Linked DNA regions of Ovis aries. The protein of the gene in region 3 binds, or shares a complex with, the protein of the main gene of each other region. Links are inferred from orthologs where the notes say so. Each region holds a gene or a part of one and is shown on either strand. Other genes may lie near its edges.

Region 1 (7,163 bases), on a different chromosome or scaffold from region 3:
ATCTGCACACAGTATTTGGGGGGGAGCCTCAGCACGACCGCACTCGAGGCGGCTGAGAGCCTCCCCTTCTAGTCCTAGAAATGCCCACCAGTGACTGCTCTGGCCCCAGGACATCCCCCCGCCCCCTCAAGGTGCTTCACGGTTGCAGGCACACCCCTCCCCCACAATACATAGCGCTCGTGAGTCTCATCTGGAAAGGGCAGTTTCCGGGAGAAACTCTGCGTGTAGACCTCCAGCCCCACTGACCGCATCGTCCGCTCCAGCCAGGCCACTGGCAGAGCCCTGGAGACACAAAGAGAGCTTCTGAGCAGAGTTCACTGGCCTTGACTGACATTGCTTCTCTGATAACCATAGCTCGGCCGCTCACCCCGACTTCCTGCGGTGGGCAGTGAAGTCCCGGGCAAGGCTCCGGGCACGGTCTCCGGCCGCAAACTGCTCCTCCACCATGGTGGAGCCCATGGCGTTCTCCGACATGTAAGTGCGCTGGGTCAGCGGCGGGAAAGCCAGCGCCAGGAACCAAGCGATGCCCGCCACATAGCTCAGCACGCTGCGGGGAGAGAGACGGAGGGACCACCGGAGCGTTAGAGGCCCTGCCTCTGTCTCTGCACTGGGAGTGGAGAGGGCATATCTGCGGGACCTGGACTGAGTCCCGGGACGCCCGACGGGAGAGCTGAGCCCCAAGCCTGAGGCCCCGACTGATCCCAGTGGGCGGGAGGGGACGGGCGCGAGCGGTCTGAGGGGCCTCTGACCCCGGGGCCCCGCCCTCACCAGAGCGGCGCGTTGAGGCGCAGCACGAGACGGGCGAGGGCGCGCCGGCGCACCGGGTCCGACAGGAGGCCCATGGCAGGGCCGGGCGGCTCCGGGACAGCGCTCCCACTGCCAGTTACGGCAGCCTACCCCGCGCGCCGCTCCTGTCAGACCCGGGCTCCGCGCCCGCCCGTACTTCCGGTCCCGACGGCCCTCGCGCCGCTGCGCATGCCCAGAGCAGAACCGCTGTGGAGGGAGCGAAGCCGGGTCCGGCTTCCCCAGCCTGTAGCCCGTCCAGAGAGAGCGGCCCCCAGGTAGGCTACCCGCAGTGTGCCGCACCGGAGGCAATGAAGACTACCGGCCGCCCGAGAAAGCTCGGCTCCAACTGGAATCAGAGAAGAGTGATGAATAGGGCAGCTGGGAGTAAAAGCGGAAGCGGCGATAAGAACACAGACGCCAGATCTCTGAAGGTGCTCCCACTGGCACTGACCGGTCTAACAGCCGTGGTAGGATGTGAGGGGGCTTCCGCAGAGAGGCCAAGGGGTTGGTGGGTCCATTCCTATGGATGTCAATAACCAAAACCAGCCGAGTGGAATCAGGCATGTGTCCAGAACCAAGATCACTGGGGTCCGATGACCACAGGGAAGAAGGTGCATGAAACTACTGGCCAAGGGGTTTCAAAGGAGCTGGGGTGTGTTGAGTAGAAAGTGGGAAGCACCCCTGTCTGGGCCAGGAGGTGCCTGGGATATTAGAGAAGGAGCAGCCCCTTGGTTCAGGCTGCAGGGCCTGGTGGTGAGGGCTCAGTCAAGTCTGAGGTGGAAGAAGGGGGAGCCTGAAAGAGGAAGGTGCAGTGGTGGGGCAGCAGGCAGTGTCTGTCTTAGGGTCAGGACTGAGAAGACGCCAGGTGACATTATGTGTCTGTTGTACTTTTGGAGCCCAAGGGAAGTAGCAGGACAGGCCCAAAAGGCTTCTAGAGGGCAAGAGACCCTTCAGTCCCAGCCACAATCCAGAGGATGTGGGACACGGCCCCCACATGACCATAGTGAATACCCAAAGCCACCCCTCAGGACTTGTGCTCAGGACTCTGGATGTGTTGGGATGAGAATGACAGACTCCATGGTCGTGGGGCATGGCTCGTTATACCAGGCTGTGTCTCACTGCCCAGCAATCCCTTCTTGGCCCAGGCTGCTCACTTCATCCAGGGACATCCGCCTTCTTCAGGGTGCTCACCTGAAGCACCCTGATGAGCAGGGTGAGCAGCACTGAGGCTGCAAGGGGTGTGTAGTGCATGTCTTGGGGGCGGACCCTTAGTCATTGCTAGAGCCAGCACCAGGCCAGGATCCAAGGGCAAGGAAGTGCGGTGGGGAAGAGATAAAAGTACAGTGAAAGGTGCTTAGGTTTTATTCTGGGCTTGGGTGGCCCTGTGCTCAGTCCCCCAGCAAGACAGAGGCCTCTTGTACATGCTGCCGGACCACACGGTCCAGTACGGTATGTACATCCCGGGAAGCCCGGGCAGCGGCCTCTAGCACTTGCTCCAGGTGGTCCTCATGCAGTCTGGCATCCATCTCAAGCAGTGCAATCTGGCCTGAGGCTGGTAGCAAGGCCAGGGCCAGCTGGGGGCCCCCAGCTGCTTCCTCCACATGGCTGAGGTCTGCCAAAGCTGTTCCATCCACAAAGCCAGCTGAGCAGGCACACACAAAGTCCCGCATGGGTATCCCCGCGTCCAACACTGCCAGCGTGGCTGCATTCACACAAGCTGCGTAGGTCCCGCCGTCTGCCTGCAGCACCTGCAGGAACCCCCCAGTGGCATGAGTTTCAAGCTGCTGAACCCCAACTCCTCCTTTCTCTCTCCCCTCCACAGGCTGAGGGCTGCTGCCTGCTCACCTGCACATAGATGTCAATCTGGGAGCGTGGGTGCAGCTGTGTAAGGATGGCTGCCTCGAAGGTCTGACGCAGGTGCAGACCCATCTCACAGGACTTGCGGTCCCCGTGTGGCCGCCGCTTGCGCTCCCCTGTGCTGAAGGTTGCAGAACTGTACTGACAGTTCACCAGGGCCCGGTCAGGCAGGGCTCGTGCCCGGGAGCCTCTGATCTGGGGTAGGGTGGGGGAGAACACATGAGCCAGGCCCTTCCTCCCTCTACCTCCAACATCCCAACAAGCAACCACTTTACCTGCAAAACAACACAGCCCGAGGGAGGGCCATTGGGCCAGGCTCTAAGCCACCATCGTCCCTGGATCTCTCTCCTGACAGGCCTCCCTGTTTCCCCTCTTGACTCGTCCTCTCTCGACCCCATGCTTCCTTTGTATGAGAATCTGTTTACATATATCAAGTCTGATTCTACCTCCTCTGCACAATACATATACTGCTTACCTTATAAAGAGTTCCCATCACGCGTGAGATAAAAATCCTAAATCTTTTCCCTGTTTACAAAGGTCCTGGGTTCCTGCTTCCCTAGAAATCCCTCAGTCTCATTTGGAATTACCACCCTCTTCCCCATCACCAGTCTTTCTGCTCTGCAAGAGTGCCATGCTTACTTCTACCTCTCTGGCCTTAAGTCTCCAGCGCTGGAGTGGTGATAAACCCAAGCGGTTTTATTAACACTCTCTGTCTTCACGGAGTTTATGTTCCAGTGAGGAGACAAACAGTGAGAAATAAGTTAAACTGATGTCTGAGGAGGCGGGTGCGGGAAACCAGATAAGTGTGTGGATGTAAAGGAGGGAACTTGACTTGTAAAGGGTAGGTAAGGTGGTCTGGGGTGGGATGGGGTGAGGTGTCACCCAGAGGTGACGTCGGAGTGGAGCTGAGAGGTGAGGGAGCCAGTGAGAGCGGCCCTGGCGGTTTTAGGAGTAACAAAGCGGTGTAGCGAGCGCTGGAGAAAGGCAGGGACCGTCGTGCAAGACACTGTTAGGACTTTGGCCGCGGCCCCACAAGGCGGCGCGCGCCAGCCTCACCCCCGAGGCCTCTACTCAGCCAGGTAGCCCCTCACAGCCCGTAGTGGCCACCCCCGGAGGAAGCCCGGCTCGCGCGCGCCCACTCGCCTCGTGAGGCCCGTAGACCACCGCCAGCGCCTTGGTATTGCCCTGTTCGATGTAGGCCGAACCGTCGGCCTGCGCGAATACACCCATCCGCGCCTGGATCTTGCGCAGCTCCCCAGCGCGCCGCCCGTCCACTCGGTAGCCCTGGTCCGATAGGAGCTCCAGCCCAGCCATGCCGCCCGGGCGCTAGCCAGGCTTGAGCGCCCGGCAGAACTACACTTCCCGGTAGAATTGACTCCCCACTTCCGATTCCCCAGGACTACGGTTTCCGGGGCACCGACTCCGACTTCCGGTTCCGGACCCCTGCGATTCTCCCAGAGTTCCCGAGGGCACCACATCTCATTTCCGGTCCTTGCGGAACTGCGGCTGTGGGCCCGGGGAGGGACCCTTGCGGCCTTTTGGGGTACGCACTCGCGCCTGCAGGGCTGGAGGCATGCCGGACGTGGAGTCGCCGTGTCGTTTCTTCCCGGGTTGGTCATGGGGACGGCTCCCTCTACCATCCGGGCCTGCCCGCCCCGCGCCGCCGCCTCTCCCTCGGCCTCTCCACTGAGCCCCGCGCTTCCCGCGCCGCTGGCGCTCCTTTACTTCTGCTTGACGCTTGGTATCTCCCTCGAGGTTTGCGGGCGATAGCCGCCACTGCTGGTCTTAAGTTCTTCCGCGGTCATAAATGCAGGCCTTCTCCCAAGCTGAGATACACTCTCTGTTCGCAGTTGTTTTTTTTTTTTCTTTAAACCGTTTAGTTTTTACATTTGTCCGTTTAAAAAGCAGACACATTTATGTTGTACGTACACATGGTCAAATTTTTTAGTTTCAATTTTCCATGTTGCCTTGTTTCTCTGCACTCATCCCCCTATCTACTATAGCTTAAAAAATGGCTCCGTTTTTCTTCACACTCATAATTACATCCAGGTCACACACAGACACGTGTATATGCAGCTGTACATGTACAGCCATATAGTGGCCTTTGGAACTCTTATTTTTTAAAATGCGATTGTTTCATACACTTTTGCATTTAACTCAAAAATATAAAATCTGTCCAAGTAATCCTGTGGAACTCATAGTTTTTTGGTTGATACGAGTATCAAGTAATAAGTAGAATGTACCCAGCAACCACCCCATTGTGGGCAGTGGATGTGTGTCCCGGGGTTGAGTGAAGGCTGTGTGGGAGTTAGATTCTCCGTCCTTTCCCACCTGGAATAAATGTTAAAAGTTTTTTACATAATCCTTCCCTCTTCAGAGGGTTACTGCCATTCCTCTTGCATTTCGTGGCCTGATGTCAAATGCCCTGGAACAGCAGAGGGGCTCACAGGAGGGGGGATGAGATGTTTTCCTCCACAGCTGCCTCCTGTTTCCAGATACCATTTGCTTGGTGGTCAAGGTCACCATCAGGGAGCTCATTACCCTCCTCATTTGCATTATTCGGGCTTCTCTGGTGGCTCGGCTGGTAAAGAATCTACCTGCAGTGGAGGAGACCTGGGTTGGGAAGATCCCCTGGAGAAGGAAATGGCAACCCACTCCAGTCTTCTTGCTTGGAGAATCTTATGGACAGAGGAGACTGGCGGGCTATAGCCCATGGGGTTGTAAGAGTCAGACACAACTTTAGGGCATTATTCAGCCCCTCTGCAGTGCTTAGAAACCAGATCCCATGCTTCAGGTTTGAATAGGGAAGGATAAATCAGCAGGGCTGTGACACTGACTATAGGGAGGCGACATTCACTGGGGCTGAGGGCGGTGTGCACTCGGGGCTTTCCTGTCTGTGGTCATTGGTGACTGGCGATGACTGGCATTGTCGTGAAGCCTTCCTCCTTCACGTCTTTGGTGGCAGGTGGTGGCTGTTGGCCAGGGCTCAACTGAGGCTCTGAGAGAGAGCACATCTTCATGTGGCCTCTCCATCCAGCCTGGGCTTCCGCAAAGCACGGCACCAAGGTGGACTCCCAAGACAAAGTGGGTGTTTGTGGCGTTCTAAGACCTAGCCTCCAGAAGTCAGGTAGTGTCACTCTTGCCAGACTGTGGGTCAAGGCAGTCACCAAGGTCTGCCAGGCTCAAGGGGAGATGACATGGTCCTCCCTCCCCGCCCACAGGAGCAGTTCAGTGTCAAGTTGTGGGAAGAGCAAGTGGAACAGACGTGCTGTGGTGGGCTTGGGCCTAAGTCCCAGGCCCAGTGACCCCTCCAAGGTGGTCTGGAATACTGCCGCACGAGGCCTTGTCTGCGCCTGGGCCATGGCCCTGATGGCCGTCATCCTCTGTTTGGCTCAGTGCCCTCACCCTCGGCTCTTCAGCTGGACTGAGCAGGTTACCGGTGGAGTCACACAGGCCTTATTCTCAGCACTGTGGACACTTTGTGTTTCTGTTCTTACTAGGTCAAGATTGCTGTAGTCCATTGACACAGGTGGAAGCCCCTGGGTGCCCCACCTGTTGCATGGTTGGCCCTAGCAGCTCAGGATAATCAGAATAATGTTGGTTCTGGGCCTAAGAAGCCCAAAGTGACTGGGGGGGTGGCTGTTCTTTTCATACTGCATGTCTCACTGTGCCCCTCATGGAAGTGTCCTCCCCCGCCCCCACCCCTAGTAGTATCTCTGGTTTAAGGTCTGGGCACCTCAGGAATGAGAACCCCTTGGTTCTCTGGCCTTTGTGTTCTAGTCACAGCATACACACCTGGGTGGATTCAGGTTTGAGGGCTATAAAGCTTATACAGATTTGGGAGCTGTGTTGAGGATCCCCAAGAGCAGCCGTGGCCCTGAATTCAGTTATTTACTAGAACTAAAAGAATTCAGCACACAGAATTGTACTTATGACCAGGATTCAGGGGAAAGGATGTTAATGAAAATCAAAAGGAAAAGCCTGCTGGGGCAGAGTCAGAGGAAACCAGGTGCCTCCTTCCAGAGTCCTCTCCCTGAAGAATCTCAGGGGACACTCTCCATTCACCCAGCAACAAATTGCAACATGGTACGTGACATGCTGGCCACTAGAGAAGCTCACTGGCGACTCAGGGCCCAGGGTGTTCATAGGGGCTGGTCACAGTCATAGGCCTCTGCCTGGATGTACCTGGACTCCTAAAGAAGAAAGGAGGGGTTCAGCATAAAGCACATTTGTTTGTACAAAGAGTTGAGGTTTGAGCCCCTCTCACTGGGGAATGGCAGGAGCCCTCCTGAAACCTAGGTTCCCAGAAACAGCAATTTTGCAACTGTCTTCTGAAGGAGAGCCATCTCAGGGCCCTTTTTAAGTAGGACAAGATCATATATCCAAAATTAAGGGAACAGAGTGAGGAAAGAAGTCCCAACACGGAACAGTAATATTTTTTTGGCTGCACTGGGTCTTTGCAACCTGAGGGCTTAGTTTCCCTGCAGCACGTGGCACCTTAGTTCCCTGACCAGGGATTC
Region 2 (7,391 bases), on a different chromosome or scaffold from region 3:
GAGGGGGGGGGGGGGAGTGGAGAATGAAGACTTCCTCCCAACACAGCCTGCCCCAACAAACCAATCAGTCCACTACAAGCACAACCTCCCAACCTGCCTCTAAGATACTATCTCCTGACTCCACCCTGACTGCCTAAAACTGCATCATCCAATATGGCAGCCACCAACCTCTTCTAGCTATTTAAAGTCATTAAAGTTAAACGAGAATTTCAAGTGCTCTGTCACACTAGCCACATTTGAAGGGCCCAGGAGCCATGGGTGGTTAGTGGCTACTGTACTGAACAACGTGGATATCATCACAAAAAGTCAGCCTGCCAGCCTCCTCTGTCCATGGGATTCTCCAGACAAGAATACTGGAGTGGGTTGCCATTCCCTTCTCCAGGGGATCTGCCTGAACCAGGGATCGAACCTGTGTCTCCTGCATTGGCAGGAGGGTTCTTTACCATCTGAGTCACGAGGGAAGCTGCTACTGGACACACCAGATCCCAGATCTTTGAGTAAATGCTACTACTCTTTTCTCTTCTTTTAACACTTAAAAACAAGTGAGATAATTAAAAGTGGAGAAGACGAAACAGGGACTCTAAAAATACACGGAGAATTCCCTGGTAGTCCAGTGGCTAAGACTCCACGTTCCCAATGCAGGGGGCCCAGGTTCGATGCCTAGTCAGGGAACTAGCTCCCTCATGACACTAGGAAGACCCAGTACAGCCAAATAAATAATGAAAGACCACTTCCCCCTGCTTCCCTCCCCACCAACAGATCTCACTCAAAAAAAAAAAAAAAAAAAATGGGGGGAAGGCAGGAGGGAAGAGTAGCAAGGAGTGGAGCCAGAAAGGAAGCAGCTTTAATCAGCCGTGAGTGATGCTTTCCCTTCTCCCACTCAGTCAAGCTCACCCTCACTCCACAGGCTCAACCAATGGGCCCTAGGGATGGAGCTGTGGAGGATCTGATTGCTCAAATCAAAACCAAACCCCCACAGAGACCAGCCCAAAGGCAGGGACTCTCCCACCTCCCTCTTGCTCCAGTAACCTTTTTGAAATTACCTGCTTCAAGTAACTCCCTTCTTAGGTCTTCCCACACATTATTCACAGCCCATCCTCCTCCCATTTCTCCCTCTAGCAAGAGCTTCGCCCCAAATTCCATTTTCCTTTCCTAATGGTTTGGGATCAGATGGTCAGACCCAGCCCCACAAGGTCTGGACAGAATTCCCGCCAAGGCCTTCACCAATCCAGGCCTTTCCCAGGTCACCTCCCTTCTTCTCCCCCCATTTCCGAGGTGAGTTTTTGTCCCATCCCTCCAACCTCACTTTCAACAGTGGCTAACACTCCAATTGCCCTCATCATATGCCAGATCCAGTTCTTAGCACTTTACATATTTAATTTTCACAACAACTCTATGAGGTGACCATTGTTAGCATTTTACAGAGAGGAAAATCAGGTCCAGAGAAGAGCAGTCCCTTGCCCAAAGCTACAGAGCTAGAAAAAGGCAGATTACAGAACACCGCCTCACATGATTTAGCACGAGCCAATCTTCTTAACCACTACTCTGTTATATGCAAAATCTCAGTTCACAGCTTTTCTCAAGTCCCCTGCCTCTGTCTCTCTAAATAGTGGTTCCCATCTACATTTCTGCTGTGCGAGCATGCCATTAGCAGCATCAATCTAAAAGGAGTCTGCTCCTTTTGACAAGAAACAAGGCATTTCTCCACTGTTTCTCAGAAATATGGAGTAAGTGCTCTGCCAGGACCTCTCCCCTCATTAGTTCAACAAATATTCACTGATCACCTCCGCCTTAGAGTGACCAAAACCAACAAGGTCCTTGGCTACCGTTCTATACCGGAGGCACAGGCGCCACGACTTTTTATAAGTATTTTATCTTTATTTATTTGGCTGCACTGGGTCTTGCAGTTATGGCATGCAGGATTTTTAGCTGCAGCATACGAACTCTTTAACTGCCGGCACGTGGGACCTAGTTCCCTGATCAGGGATGAAACCCAGGCCCCCTGCATTGGAAGCGCGGAGTCTCAGTCACTGGACCACCAGGGAAGTCCCAGAAAGATTTTTTTTTTAACGCAGTTTATTTAAAAATCAGAATTGGAGCAAAGAAACACGGGGCACCATAAAAGTCCCTGAAAGGGCAACTGATGTCTCTCTCCTCCTCCTTGAAAGTAGACCGTATTGAGAAGAAAGTCTTTCCCTTACAAACACAATTTTCTCCAGCTCCTGAGGGGAGAGGTCACACCCTTCTCCCGTATTCTCCAAGCGGCCTCCCCTGGGGATGGGCGGCAATTAAGTAACTACCTCGCTCTCTCCAAGTTTTCTCCCTCCCTTAGGGTCACAAAGGAGCTGCCTGGCTTTTCTTCTCCTAAGGAAGTGGAAGTTATTCCCTTGCATGTCCTGTCCAAGTGGTTCTCCCAGCCCTCGTCCTTTCTCTCACAGCCCTTCCTTCACTTCCTACAGGGACCTAAGGGAACCCCCTCTCTCTGAAGACTGCATAAACATTCCTATACCTCTTTCGAGAAAACTTTCAGGTGCTCCAGGTACTCACAGATCTAGCCAGCCCACGAGCCCCAAGCAGCCGCAGGAGCGGGAGGCCCGCCCGTCCCAAGCCTCGACTTGGTCTCCAAACCCTCGCCGCCGCAGCCGCCACCGCCATCTTGGCTGACCATCCCTCGGAGATCCGCCCCTCTCCTCGGCGAGACCGGGGCTGCCCCTTCATAAGCCTGACTCAAATGCCAGCAACACCCTGCCAAGAAACCATACGCTACTAGTTCTGCAGCCTCTGGGACACACATGTAGGTGCATAAAGCCACCTAACTTCCCAAAATTACTCTGACCGCCTCACGTTAGTTATTCCTGTAACCGGCAAAGAAGAGGACAACCCGTCCAGAGCCTCAGGGTTTCAGGGCCGGGGGCCTCGGGTAGGACGAGCTCATGCCAAGGCCCGCCCACTCTTCTCTTCTGTCCAATGGCTTTCCTGGACTTTCGAGGCGGGAGTGGGAGGGTCCAGATTGTTAGTAAACGCCGAGCCACGTGCGGGCGCCACTCCTGGAGCCCCCGGGTCGGCGCGTGCGTACAGCGTACGCACCTCGTACGCAAGCGCGCGCTTCTGGGAGGAAGCAACAAGCCCCGGCTGCACGTGGGCTCCGGGGCTATGGAGGGGGCAATGCAGACTGAATCGAAGATTCGGGCTGATTCTCGGACAGAGCCCGGCCCTAGGGGCCCCGGCTGTAGCCTCCGGCACTTTGCCTGCGAACAGAACTTGTTGTCCCGGCCTGATGGCTCTGCCTCTTTCCTGCAAGGTAGGAACTACTAGGTTGTATTATTTGGTGGGGCGGGGGGCGGTTACAATGTATCGCGCTAGCTGGTAAAAATCTCTCCTGAACTAGTGCAGTTCTTGCCTGGGTGGACACTACTGTATACGCAGGTAGACATATATCTCTCCCTCCAGACTAGCAAGGAGAAGATTGTTAAAGTACGCAGAATGGGAGAGGGCAGACCGCTTCTAAAGAATGAATACTCCAGAATAGGGGAAATATTCTTACCCCGGGGTCTCCCTTGACTGGATTCCTCTCCGGTTTCCCATACACGCACCCTGGGTCCATACATCCCAGGCTGAGGCAAACCTGTTTGTTTGCATAAATACCCAGTGGACTGTCAGATCACCACTTCTGGTGTACTCCCTAGCCCGGTGGCAGATCTTTTATCCAAATAGTTACTTCTCAGATGGATGGTGATGTCCCCAGCCCCACCTCTTGGGTAAATGTCCCTTTGGCTGGGATACACAACTCTGCTTATATCCCTAAGATTGGAGCAGTTCTTACCTATTAGGGAAATATCCCCTTTTCCTAGCTAAACAACTCTGAAACTAGACTCAGTTCCCTGACGCCTCTGAGGGAAATGTTCCTCTGGAGATAGGCCTAAGGGTCACCCCCATAAATGCTTCAGACCCTGCTCTAGGGCATTACCTGAAACCCAAATACAAAACCTGCTTTCATTCATTCTTTCATTGAACATGTACCTTTGCTTAGTATTGTTCTGGACACTGAGAATAAGTAAATAAATTTTTTAAAAATCCCTGCGGTAACGGATTTGACATTCTTACATTCTAGTCAGAGAGACAGGCAAAAGATAAGTAAAATATGTAGTAGAAAACAAGAAAAATACAGTAAGGGTGTAGATTGGGGTGTGCCAGAGAGGGTTGCAGTCTTAATTAGGATGGTCAGGAAAGGCATCAACTGAGATGGTACCTTTTGAATAAACACTTAAAGATGGGACTTTCCTGGTGATCCAGTGGCTAAGACTGAGCTCCCAATGCAGAGGGCCTGGGTTCAGTCCTTGGTAAGGGAACTAGATCCCACATGGTGCAACTAAGAGTTCGCATGCCCCAACTAAAGATCCTGCGTGTTGCAGTGAAGACCCAGTACAGCCAAATAAAAAAATTTTAAAGCAGTTTCTTTCCCTAAAATTGGCTTTTTGCAGGGGGAGCAAACCCTAAACAGATCAAGAGGAAAGCTTATGAAGCATTAGGAACCACAGGGCCCTGAGGCCAAAACTTGCCTGGTGTGTTTGAGGGACAGTCAGGGGGACGGGGTGCCTGCAGCGGTGACAGGAGGTGGGGTGGCGATAAGGAGACCTGCCCCTCATATAAAGTCTAGTGACTGAGAATGGAGACTTGTGACATGCTCTGAATATATATTTTTTTTATAGATTTTAGACTTTCTGGCTGCAGTGTTGATGGCAAAGGGCACGGGGGAAAGGAGAGGAGGGTGGTGCAGACCAGAGTGGAAGCAGTACAGGTGGTGAGAGTCTGAAGGCAAACTGATAAATTGCAGCTGGTTTGGTTTGGGGGTGTGACAGGGTCAGTTTTTTACCCAGACCAGCTGTGCTGGGAGACAATGAGTTCAGTTGGGAACATTACATTTGCAAGGCCTAATAGACTCTCCCATGGCAGTGTGGATTCGGCAGTCGGACATACAAGGCTGGAATTTGGGAGTCCTTTGGCAGTTCAAGCTACTGATTGGATAGAATCAACAAGAGAATCAATATAGGTGGAGAAGAGAACTTAGAACTTAGCCCTTTGCCTTCTAGCCTGGGTGGAGCTAGGAAAAGACATAGAGAAGGAGCAACTAGTAAGGTAGGAGAAAAACCAAGAGAGGGCAGCGACCTGGAGCCCAGAGAACGTGTCTGAAATGTAAGGACCAACCGTTTTGGTCCGGCTGAGAGACTGAATCGTGAGGATGGACTAGACCTGTGGGTTGACAACCTGGTTGTCTATTGTAGGTGGTGCAGCCAAGAGTCACTCTGGGACTTCCCTGGTTAAGATTCTGAGCTCGTAGTGCAGGGGACACAGGTTCGATCCCTGGTCCAGCAAGCTTCACATGCCTTGCATCACAGCTACTTGAGCCCACACACCCTAGAGCCTGTGCTCCACCACAAGAGAAGCCAGTGCAATAAGAAACCTACATATCACAACGAAGACCCAACGCACAGCCAAAAATAATAAGTAAAATGTAAAAAAGAAAAAGCTGTTCCGGTGGAGGGGTGGAGTCGAGGAAAAGAAAGAGACAGTGAGCAGAGACCGCTCTTCAGGAACTTTGCTGTAAAAGGATAAGATAGATGGGCGAGGAGTTAGATGGATGTGGGGTCCACAGGGGAGGGAATTGCTAGAGCCATGGCCTCAGGAAGATGAGAAGAGAGGCACTCTTGTGCCCAGGTGAAGCACAGACAGTGCCTTTGGAGTAACAGGAAGGAAGACCCCGGTGTGGATCTATTTCTGCTTGGACAATTTCCTCCTCCAGGGTCCATTCTCCTGGAGCCAAGAGAGCCCCTCAGTTGTATAGCAGCTCTTCCTCGCCAGCCCCAGAACAAAAAAGCCTCTGCCAGGGACCTCTCCAGGCTTAGATCTCTTGCTCAGTGCAGGTGCCTGGAGGTTCTTAGAATTTAAGAAATACTGAGCCCCTTGTGTGTTCTAAAAAAGAAAGAAATACTGAGCCCCTTGTATGTTCTAAAACCCCAAAGCCCAGGACCCTGGAGCAGGGTCCTCTGCAAACCCTCACTAGACTCTCCAGTGAGGTTAAAAATGCCAAGCCCCAGAACCCACCTATGCCAACTAAGGCTAGCCCTCTTTGTCCTTATTGATTAGTTGCTCAGTCGTGTCAGCCAGGCTTCTCTGCCCATAGGATTATCCCAGCAAGAATACTAGAACAGGTTGCCATTTCCTCCTCGAGAGGATCTTCCCAACCCAGGGATGCCAGCCCTCTGTATTTTTAAATGATCTGCTGTAGCGATTCTGGTTGCAGGCCTGTGTTTTGAAACCGTGCTGGAGCTCCATGTCTTCCCACTGCAGGTTGCAGGTCCAGCTGCACATTAGAATGGCCTGTTGGAGCTCTGAGGCTCCCAGTGCCTTAGCCTCAGCCCCCAGCAATGGGATTAAGGCTCTCTAGAGGAGGGGCCTGGGCATCTAGATCTTTCAAAGTTCTGCAGTAAGCCCAGTGTGCATACGGGGTTGAGAACCACTGTGTTCACTAGTGGGTTTTTGTTTTTGTTTCCATCTTATTTCTGTTCTTTGGTCAGGTCAGGTGTTAGCTGTGGTGCATGGACTTAGTTCCTCCACGGCATGTACAGGCTTAGTTGCCTGATCGGGGATCGAACCAGCATCCCCTGTATTGGAAGGTGGATTCTTAACCACTGGACCACCAGGCAAGTCCCCTTTAATGGTTCTTTGTAACTGAAATATAGTAGAAAATCTCCGAGTACGTCAAAGCAGTAACAGTAAAGAGTTGTTTTGGGAGGCGTTCATTCCATTTATATCCACACAGATTTGTGTGAGTTTTGGGTCCTGAAGTGTATTTGAGTCTAAAATGTATTTCTTACAGGGAGTTAGGATCAGGAATGTTTGGAAACTGCTCTTGTAGTCCAGTCTACCCATTTTGCTGATGGGAAAACTGAGGCCCAGAGAAGTAAGCAAAATCAGCTGAGATTACAGAGCCAGGAGGAAATAAGCAGGTGTCAGGAGCCAGCCCTAGATATTCATCCGTTTCTCAGGTGTCCTGACTGCTACAGAGTTTGGGGACGTGAGCTAGAGGGAAGAGAACTCGGCCTCGGGGGAGCTTTGGAAGGAGAAGTTGGGACCAGCAGCAGTAAGAAGGAGGGTTAGCACTCAGGAAGAACTTCCTGTTAAAGTTAGTAATAGTAGCTAAAGTCCTTTGGGCACTCAGCAACTTAGCAGGCAGCATCCTAAGTGTTTCTCTTTTTATCTAATTTAATCCTCATAGCTGTGAAGGATGTCCTATAGGTGTTTGCTTTTTTGTTTTTTTTTTTGTCTGCACTGGGTCTTAGTCCCAGCATGCAAACTCTTAGCTGTAGCTTGTGGGATCTAGTTCCCTGACC
Region 3 (7,531 bases):
TAGTCAAAGCTAAGGTTTTTCCAGTAGTCATGTATGGATGTGAGAGCTGAACCATAAAGAAGGCTGAGCACCGAAGAACTGATCCTTTCCAATCATGCTGGAGGAGACTCTTGGAGGGTCCCTTGGAGTGCAAGGAGATCGAACCAGTTAACCCTGAAGGAAATCAACCCTGAATATTCATTTGAAAGACTGATGCTAAAGCTCCAGTACTCTGGCCACCTGATGTGAAGAGCCGACTCATTGGAAAAGCCCGATGCTGGGAAAGATTGAGGGCAGGAGGAGAAGGGGCCGACAGACGATGAGATGGTTGGATGGCATCACTGAGTCGATGAACATGAACTTGGGCACACTCCGAGAGATGGTGAAGGACAGGGAAGCCTGGCATGCTGCAGTCCATGGGGTCACAAAGAGTCAGCTGTGACTGAGCAACTGAACCACAGAGCGCAGAGCTCACTGGAGGAGAACAGAGACCAGCTGGCCTCCCTACTAGGAAGCCACCCTACTTTAGAAGGAGCCCGGCTCTGCAGGCCCAGGCCCAAGACCCAGCAGGCAAACCAGATGTTGTCCTCGTTCCACTCTCCAAGCCTGCTGGGTGGGCCCGCATTCCTTTAGGATGGGATGCTGTTTGCCTTGCAAAGCTGCAAAGCGCCTGACCCAAAAGCATGCAGGCCAGAGAGTGGCCAGCTCTCTGGGGCCTGAAACTGATTCTCTCCTTAGAATCTGATCTCTGATCTGGGAAATACTTGGCAGGGAAAGAGAGTTAAAGAGGAGCTGATAGGTCATGATGTGGAGGGAGGCTGGAGAGGCCTCACAGAAGTAAAGATGGGCAGATGGCGTGTACCCAGGTGGAGGGCAGCCTGACAGCAAGTGGTTGTGGAGAAGGGAGACACTGCAGCAGAGAGAAGTAGGGGTGTCTCCAGAGACAGAAAGGCAGGCAGAACCACACAGACACGTGATCCATGCTGGGGCCCCGGAGAGGCAGTGTCCAGGAGCTGCCTAGGGACAGCTACATCCAACAATTTAATAACCTCTCAGTTCAGTTCAGTTACTCAGTTGTGTCCAACTCTTTGCAACCCAACTCAATCTCCCCAAATAAAAAGAGCTTAAATCTCAACAGCCACAGGCTGAACCCCTCACGGGGTCACTGTGAAGGCTGCAGATACAGTACGGATGGTTCTGGACGAAGCCACACTTCTGACGGGAAAATCTCAACTGGGAGCCAGCGTCTCTTCCGGGCTGAGAGCACGCCAGGTGGTCCATGTTCCCTTTCCTCGTCACTCCTCACAGTCCTGTTCTGTCCCCCAGACAGAAGTGTTCTCATTTTACACAGGGGGAGCTAGCTTACTACACTCTTACTGTGAATGGTGGAGCTGGGAGGAGCCCTGCTCAGTCCACTCCAAGTCCTCATCCAAACAGAAGCTGGAGGCCATTGACCTTGTTAGGGGAAACACTGGCAGAAACCACCTGCCCTGGCCAGACCATTAAGGTTCCTATAATAACCATTTGCAGGAGATATGTTATCTTACAACAGGACATCCTGGTAAAGAATGCGGAACTAATAAGCTACTGCTATCTTTTCCTTTTGGGAAAAGTCAAAAGGAGAGAGGGGATGCCAGTCCATACATACTACTAACGTCCCAGAATCCTCCTTGCTGGAATCCACCTTGGCTGAGTGATGTGTGCGCCACCAGGAAGGATGCTGCGTCAGGACGACTGGCCAGAGGCAGCCCAGAAACTAACTTCATCACCGTGAAACCCGAGGCTGCGAGCTGCACAGCAGAGTAGTTCTCCCGGGTTCCCTCACCCTGCTGCTCTCCACTTGGGTGCCCCTTCCCAATAAAGTCTCTTGCTTTGTCAGCACGTGTGTCTCCTTGGACAATTCATTTCCAAGTGTTAGACAACAGCCTACTCACTGGCCCTGAAAGGGGTCCCCCTTTCTACAAACTCCTCAGGCAGAGCGGCAAAGATTTCTACAGCAGACTCCAGGCAGGCTGGACCAAGCCAGTGGCTGGTCCAAGGTCCAATGTCTAGTGACTGCATCAAAATCTCCCAACATTTATGAAAATACCCATTCCCAGGCTCCAGCCCCAGCCCCAGCCCCAAGGATTCTGATCCAGAAGATCCAGGTAAAGCCCAGGAAGCTGTATTTTGTGAGTAAAAGGCACTTCCAAGGTCTCAGAATTACTGGGCTAAGACAGAAGTTAGCAATGTCTTTCCAGGGAGGAAGAAAGCACACATTTAGCCAGTTAAGCAAACCTGAAAAGAAGATTAAATGCTAATTCTGGAAATTCTGAAACCTGCCCCCAATTCCTGAATATAAGAACCAGCTTGGGACTTCCCTTGTGGTCCAGTGGTTAAGACTCTGTGCTCCCAATGCAGGGGGCCTGGGTTGGATCCTAGTCAGGGAACTAAAATCCCACAGGTCTCAAATAAAGATCTCAGATGCTGCAACAAAGACTGACGATCCCTCAGCTGAGACCCAGCATAGCCACGTAAACAAAATACTTAAAAAACAAAACCAGTCAGATACAAGTAAGTAAAACAAGAGTTGTACAAAAAAATGCTAACTAGGGTTCTAAAGAAGCTTAGAACCAACGTGGGAAAAACATTACCTAAAAAGGTAATAGTAATATATGTCCATATACTATTTAAGGCCTAGAAAAATGCGGCGGGGGTGGGGGTCAGAACTTGCCCTCCCTGCTCCTGTTTTGCCGACGCGCTTTCAGAGGACAGAGCAAAGAAAGAGAAGTGGAAGCCGTGGGCATTCTCCCTGGCTTTTATTTCTGGGTGCCTATTTTTAAAAAGGGAAAATAGCACAAGGCTTGAGCTGGGCTTTACAGTCAGATCTGGATTTATATCCCAGTTCCACTGTACAAAGAGAGGGTGGGGGGTTCCGGAAAAAGGCAACCAGGCATGCATGGCTTTCTGGACACAAGGGAAGCCATTTTAGTCCTCAGCCTTTTTGTGATCTACTCCTGGCCACAATGCTTGCCCTTGAACATGTCACGGTAATTAATCATCTTGAGGGAACTACAGAATTCAGGAAAAAATGGAAAAGCAACGAAGAAACAACAGTTCTCAGATAAAACGGAGCCCTAGTTTTTCTTCAATGGATATACTTAACAGTTTGATACGAACCTTCGAGTTGTTCTACAAGAACTCAGGGGCCCACTCAGCTGAAGGATGGTAACTCCAGGATAAGACCCCAACGTGGCCACAACCTGAAGATGGTGTTGCCCTTCTCTTCCCCATGGTGAAGTGAAGCAAAGTGACAGTCGCTTATTCGTGTCTGACTCTTTATGACCCCATGGACCATACAGTCCATGGAATTCTCCAGGCCAGAATACTGAAGCCATTCCCTTCTCCAGGGAATCTTCCCAACCCAGGGATCGAACCCAGGTCTCCTGCACTGTAGGTGGATCGTTTAGTAGCTGAGCCACCAGGGAAGCCGTCCCCTTGGTGACTCCAATCAACTAAGGCCTGGACTCCGCTGACCTCTGCCCCGACTTTAGGCCTCCTCCTCTGCTCAAGCCCCTTCATGACTATACACGTGCCCTTAGCCTGTTTTCCAGTTTTGCTATTGGTAGACATTGCTTCTGAAAAGATTCCCAGAGTCCCCTTGCTGCTAAGTCGCTTCAGTCGTGTCCGACTGTGCGACCCCATAGACGGTAGCCCACCAGGCTCCCCCGTTCCTGGGATTCTCCAGGCAAGAACACTGGAGTGGGTTGCCATTTCCTTCTCCAATGCATGAAAGTGAGAAGTGAAAGTGAAGTAGCTCAGCCCTGTCAGACTCTTAGCGACCCCATGGACTGTAGCCCACCAGGCTCCTCTGCCCATGGGATTTTCCAGGCAAGAGTACTGGAGTGGGGTGCCATTGCCTCCTCCGAAAGTCCCCTTACTTGATGCAATTAATAAATTCCTCCTTCTCCCATTCTCTGGCTTGGTTGTGTTTTTTGGTTCAACATCCAAGGGTCAACCCCGGAGAAGCGACGGCTACCCACTCGAGTATTCTGGCCTGGAGAATTCCAGGAACTGAATAGTCCATGGGGTCGCAAAGAGTCGGACAGGACTGAGCGACTTTCACGACCAAGAGTCAAACCCCAGTTTTGCGGTAATACCACCACACACTTACCTTACGACCTCAGACAACTGACTTAACCTCTCTGACTTAGTTCCTTATATGTAAAGCAGACATAACACTCACCTTCAGGACTTAACAAAAATTCAATGAGATTAAAAACTATGACAGAGCATGTATCTAACAAAAGTGAGACAGCTCAGCCTTCAAAGGCTGAGAGGGGATTTAACAGAATCAGGGACTGCCCACCGCGTCCTACCCGAGCTTGGAACCTTGTAGACCCGGAAAGATCCAAGTACGCATACAGTCTTAAACGGATGCTCGCCGCCTGGTCCCAAAGACGCCTGCACGGGCGGCTTTAGAGCTGCACATGCCGGCCGCATAGCGGTCTAATCAAAGGTAAACCCAGCCTGCCGCAGTCTTTCCGGGCAAGCCGAGGCCCGGCATCGACCCGCAGGGCCAAGGGAACCCGGAGGCCGGCGCCAGTACTGCCCGCTGCCGCTACCTGAACGCCATGCACAATGTACACCTTCTCCGCCTCGCTCAGCGCCACCGACGCCATGCTGCCGAGCCTTCCCCGCCGCTTGACGTCATCCGCCCGCGTCGCCCCCCGCCAGGCACAACCCCCCCTCCCATGCGTCATCAGCCTGCGCGGCGGCCGCTCCTGCAGCTGCCGCCGCCACCACCGCCGGGGAGCTCGATGGGCTTCTCCTGCGCGCCGCCCTGTGTCTGGCCGAGTCCAGGGAGCCGCGGCGCCTCGTTCCTGGGAGCCATCGCTGCAGCCCAGGGCCGGGTCCCGGGTCGGGGGCTGAAAGGGGAGCGACGACGGCAGCGGCAGCCGGAGCCCCACCGAGGGGGCTGGGACTGGGGAACTGCCTCTGGCTTCACGGTCAGTCGGGTGAGGAAACTGGGATCCGGCGAGAAAGCTGGGGCGAGGCGCCAGGCGCGGGCCGGGGCCGGAGCTCGAAGGGGTAGCGGTGGAAGAGGCGTGCGGCGCAGTTTGCTCAGAGCTGGAGTTGAAGTAGCCGGTCGTGTGCGTGCGTGTGTGTGAAGAAAGAGACCGACCCCAAGTGAGAGGTGGCGGACGTCGCGATTGGCCTGAGAGAGGCTGTCTCTTGGCTCTCCTTCCTGCCCTCATGTCATGTATTTCTCTGGCCCATGGGATGGTGGGGAGGAAAGAAGCGATCAAGCCCTCTTTAGGTCGTTCTCGGTGATAAGGATCTGGCCGGGAGTGAATGCCCTTCTAGTCCCGAGACGTCTTCAACTGCACCCCATGGATTCCCCCACCCCCCCACCCCCGCTCTCTCTGGGGCTGGCTGACCGAACGCTGACCCCCGCCCCGGAACCTTGCAGGATCCCCATGTCCCGGATGGTTGCCGGAGCTTTGTCCCAAAGAGAGTAGAAGGGAGAGTCTTGGTCAGCGCTGGCGGGGGGGGTTGCGGGGGCGCAGTGCCCCGGCGTCCCCAGCGCTTCCCAGCAGGGACTGGAAGCCCTGGCTTGACCGGGTGATCGCTGGGAACCGTGGACAAAAAAAAAGAAATGCCGGCCCCAGTCGTGACCAAGTAGGAATATGGGCCTTGAATATCCAGAAAGGATACCTGCAAGGTGAACGTGGGGTCACTGAAGGAGCCCATTAAGGCGGGGTTGATAAGGCAGGAAACAGATTTTAAAGGGGCCACGTAGATAAATGGAGGAAAGTTAACCCAGAAGGATAGTAGCAACGAGGGGATCTGATGATTTTTCCAAGTGCCCCACTTTTGAGGAACCTCCCTGTTGTCAGAAGTGAAACTAACCCTTGACTGCTTGATCCTCCAAAGAATGGTTGGTGTCTCAGATAGTAGCCTCAATACAGTTTCACAGATAACTCTTGGGAGCCTACTGTTGATGGGCTTTGTGCTAGCTTTGAGACACTGAGACAAGTGAAACACAGCTTCTGCCCAGAGAAGCTCCCAGGCAGAGGGAAGGCTCCAGACCCAGCATAAACGTGGGGGTGAACAGCTGTGACAGTGGCACCGGTGAACATAGTGGGACCGGGAGGTTGTATACCCTCTGAAGAGGGTATGGAGAGGACGTACCTGCCCACATTCTGAAGCCCTAAGCTGCCGAGCCCCCAAATAAATCATCTCTTCTTAGTGGACTGGACCTTTCGTTGTTTCCGGTCTCTCTGTAACTCTCTGCAGGTGTACCTATAGGGAGGATGTCTTGCAGTGTTGAATTCTGCCCTCCAGGAGACTTGGAGAGGTAAACCCAGAAGGGTTTCCTCCTTCATGAAAGTACAGGTGCCCCACCTGTTGGGACACATGCGCCTGGAGGCCTTTGGGTGATTGAACACCTGGATTCTAATGAGCACCTGGGTGATGAGATAACAGGGCACTTCTGGTGTTAGAAACGGTGTCTTGTGCTCGATCGCTCAGAAAGAAGAGACCCCGGATGTGAAATTTTAATAGGTGGGACATCGAAGAGGAGCGAGGGTTTAAAAAGTGGCAGCGAATAGATCAGAAAAGTGAGGGAAAGAAAATTCTGGGTTTGGATACCATGGGATCATCTTTATGTAAAAATCTTTCAGTGTGTCTTTCAAACTATAGAACATACATTTGAAGTGTTTCCCAGATAAATGACTAAAGATTCTCTGCTGGAGGATTGGCAGTATTTGCTAAATAACATTACAAACAATGTCTGACATGTTAGCCTAAATCGATATAAGACATACAAACAATCGAATGTTTGTTTTAAATTTTCTGCTAAAAAATTAAAATTTAAATTTTCTGTCTGTTAGTGACACCTTCACTAACTGTTGTACTTTAATGCAGCCAGAACATTTTTTATCACATTTCTTGTGATCATACGTTAGATATTTCAGAACCCCATAAATTCAGAGTTCTTTTTGGTTTACTGAAGCAGTTCAAAGACTGTACGTTTGCCAGAAAATCCAAACACCAAGGATGGCATATTATTCTATTAACCAGCTTGTTTTCCCATCACTGTCAGATTCTTTTGGCTGCATGCTGATTTGTAGGTCCGTCTGTCCTAAATCTCTGTATTCTTATTAATTATATCTAGTAATAACAGAAGCATAATAGTGCTTACTATCTGCCCAGCTCTGTTCCGAAACACTTCACAAAGACTAACTGATTCAGTCCTATTAACAATAGCCCTGTGAGGCAGGTGCTATTATCCTATTTTACAGATTGGGAGACTGAGGTACAGAGAGATTGTCTTGACCGAGGTCCCAGGTCACATAACTGGGAAGCAGTAGAGTCAGGATTTGAGAGCAGACAACCTCGCTCCCATACCTGCATTCCTGACCACCCCTTTATGCAGGTGTCCCCTTTCATTTCATTCACCAGAGTATTTGAAGGAGGCCTGTGTTTCTTATGGGCTTCCCTTGTGGCTCAGCTGGTAAAGAATCCGCCTGCAATGCGGGGGATCTGGGTTCGATCCCTGGGTTGGGGA

What was found. The genes of interacting proteins can lie anywhere in the genome.
Region 1: EXOSC7 (region 3) and EXOSC4 share a complex: the UniProt entries of both Homo sapiens proteins name them as parts of the RNA exosome core complex. The link is inferred for Ovis aries from reciprocal best matches to the Homo sapiens genes EXOSC7 and EXOSC4.
Region 2: EXOSC7 (region 3) and EXOSC5 share a complex: the UniProt entries of both Homo sapiens proteins name them as parts of the RNA exosome core complex. The link is inferred for Ovis aries from reciprocal best matches to the Homo sapiens genes EXOSC7 and EXOSC5.

Annotation. Positions count from the first base shown.
Region 1 is NC_056062.1:13,708,674-13,715,836, forward strand, and holds EXOSC4 (exosome complex component RRP41), read right to left. Parts: upstream 4,017-7,163; 5' UTR 3,958-4,016; coding exon 3,787-3,957; exon of another isoform or gene 2,839-3,786; coding exon 2,632-2,838; exon of another isoform or gene 2,609-2,631; intron 2,535-2,608; coding exon 2,175-2,534; 3' UTR 2,126-2,174; downstream 1-2,125. Other genes in the region: GPAA1 (glycosylphosphatidylinositol anchor attachment 1 protein), read right to left, coding at 1-2, 171-282, 368-547, 769-842. UniProt on the Homo sapiens protein: Non-catalytic component of the RNA exosome complex which has 3'->5' exoribonuclease activity and participates in a multitude of cellular RNA processing and degradation events.
Region 2 is NC_056067.1:50,091,515-50,098,905, reverse strand, and holds the start of EXOSC5 (exosome complex component RRP46), read left to right. Parts: upstream 1-2,966; 5' UTR 2,967-2,967; coding exon 2,968-3,301; intron 3,302-7,391. Other genes in the region: BCKDHA (2-oxoisovalerate dehydrogenase subunit alpha, mitochondrial), read right to left, coding at 2,548-2,655. UniProt on the Homo sapiens protein: Non-catalytic component of the RNA exosome complex which has 3'->5' exoribonuclease activity and participates in a multitude of cellular RNA processing and degradation events.
Region 3 is NC_056072.1:54,174,411-54,181,941, forward strand, and holds the start of EXOSC7 (exosome complex component RRP42), read right to left. Parts: upstream 4,675-7,531; 5' UTR 4,641-4,674; coding exon 4,584-4,640; exon of another isoform or gene 4,338-4,583; intron 1-4,337. UniProt on the Homo sapiens protein: Non-catalytic component of the RNA exosome complex which has 3'->5' exoribonuclease activity and participates in a multitude of cellular RNA processing and degradation events.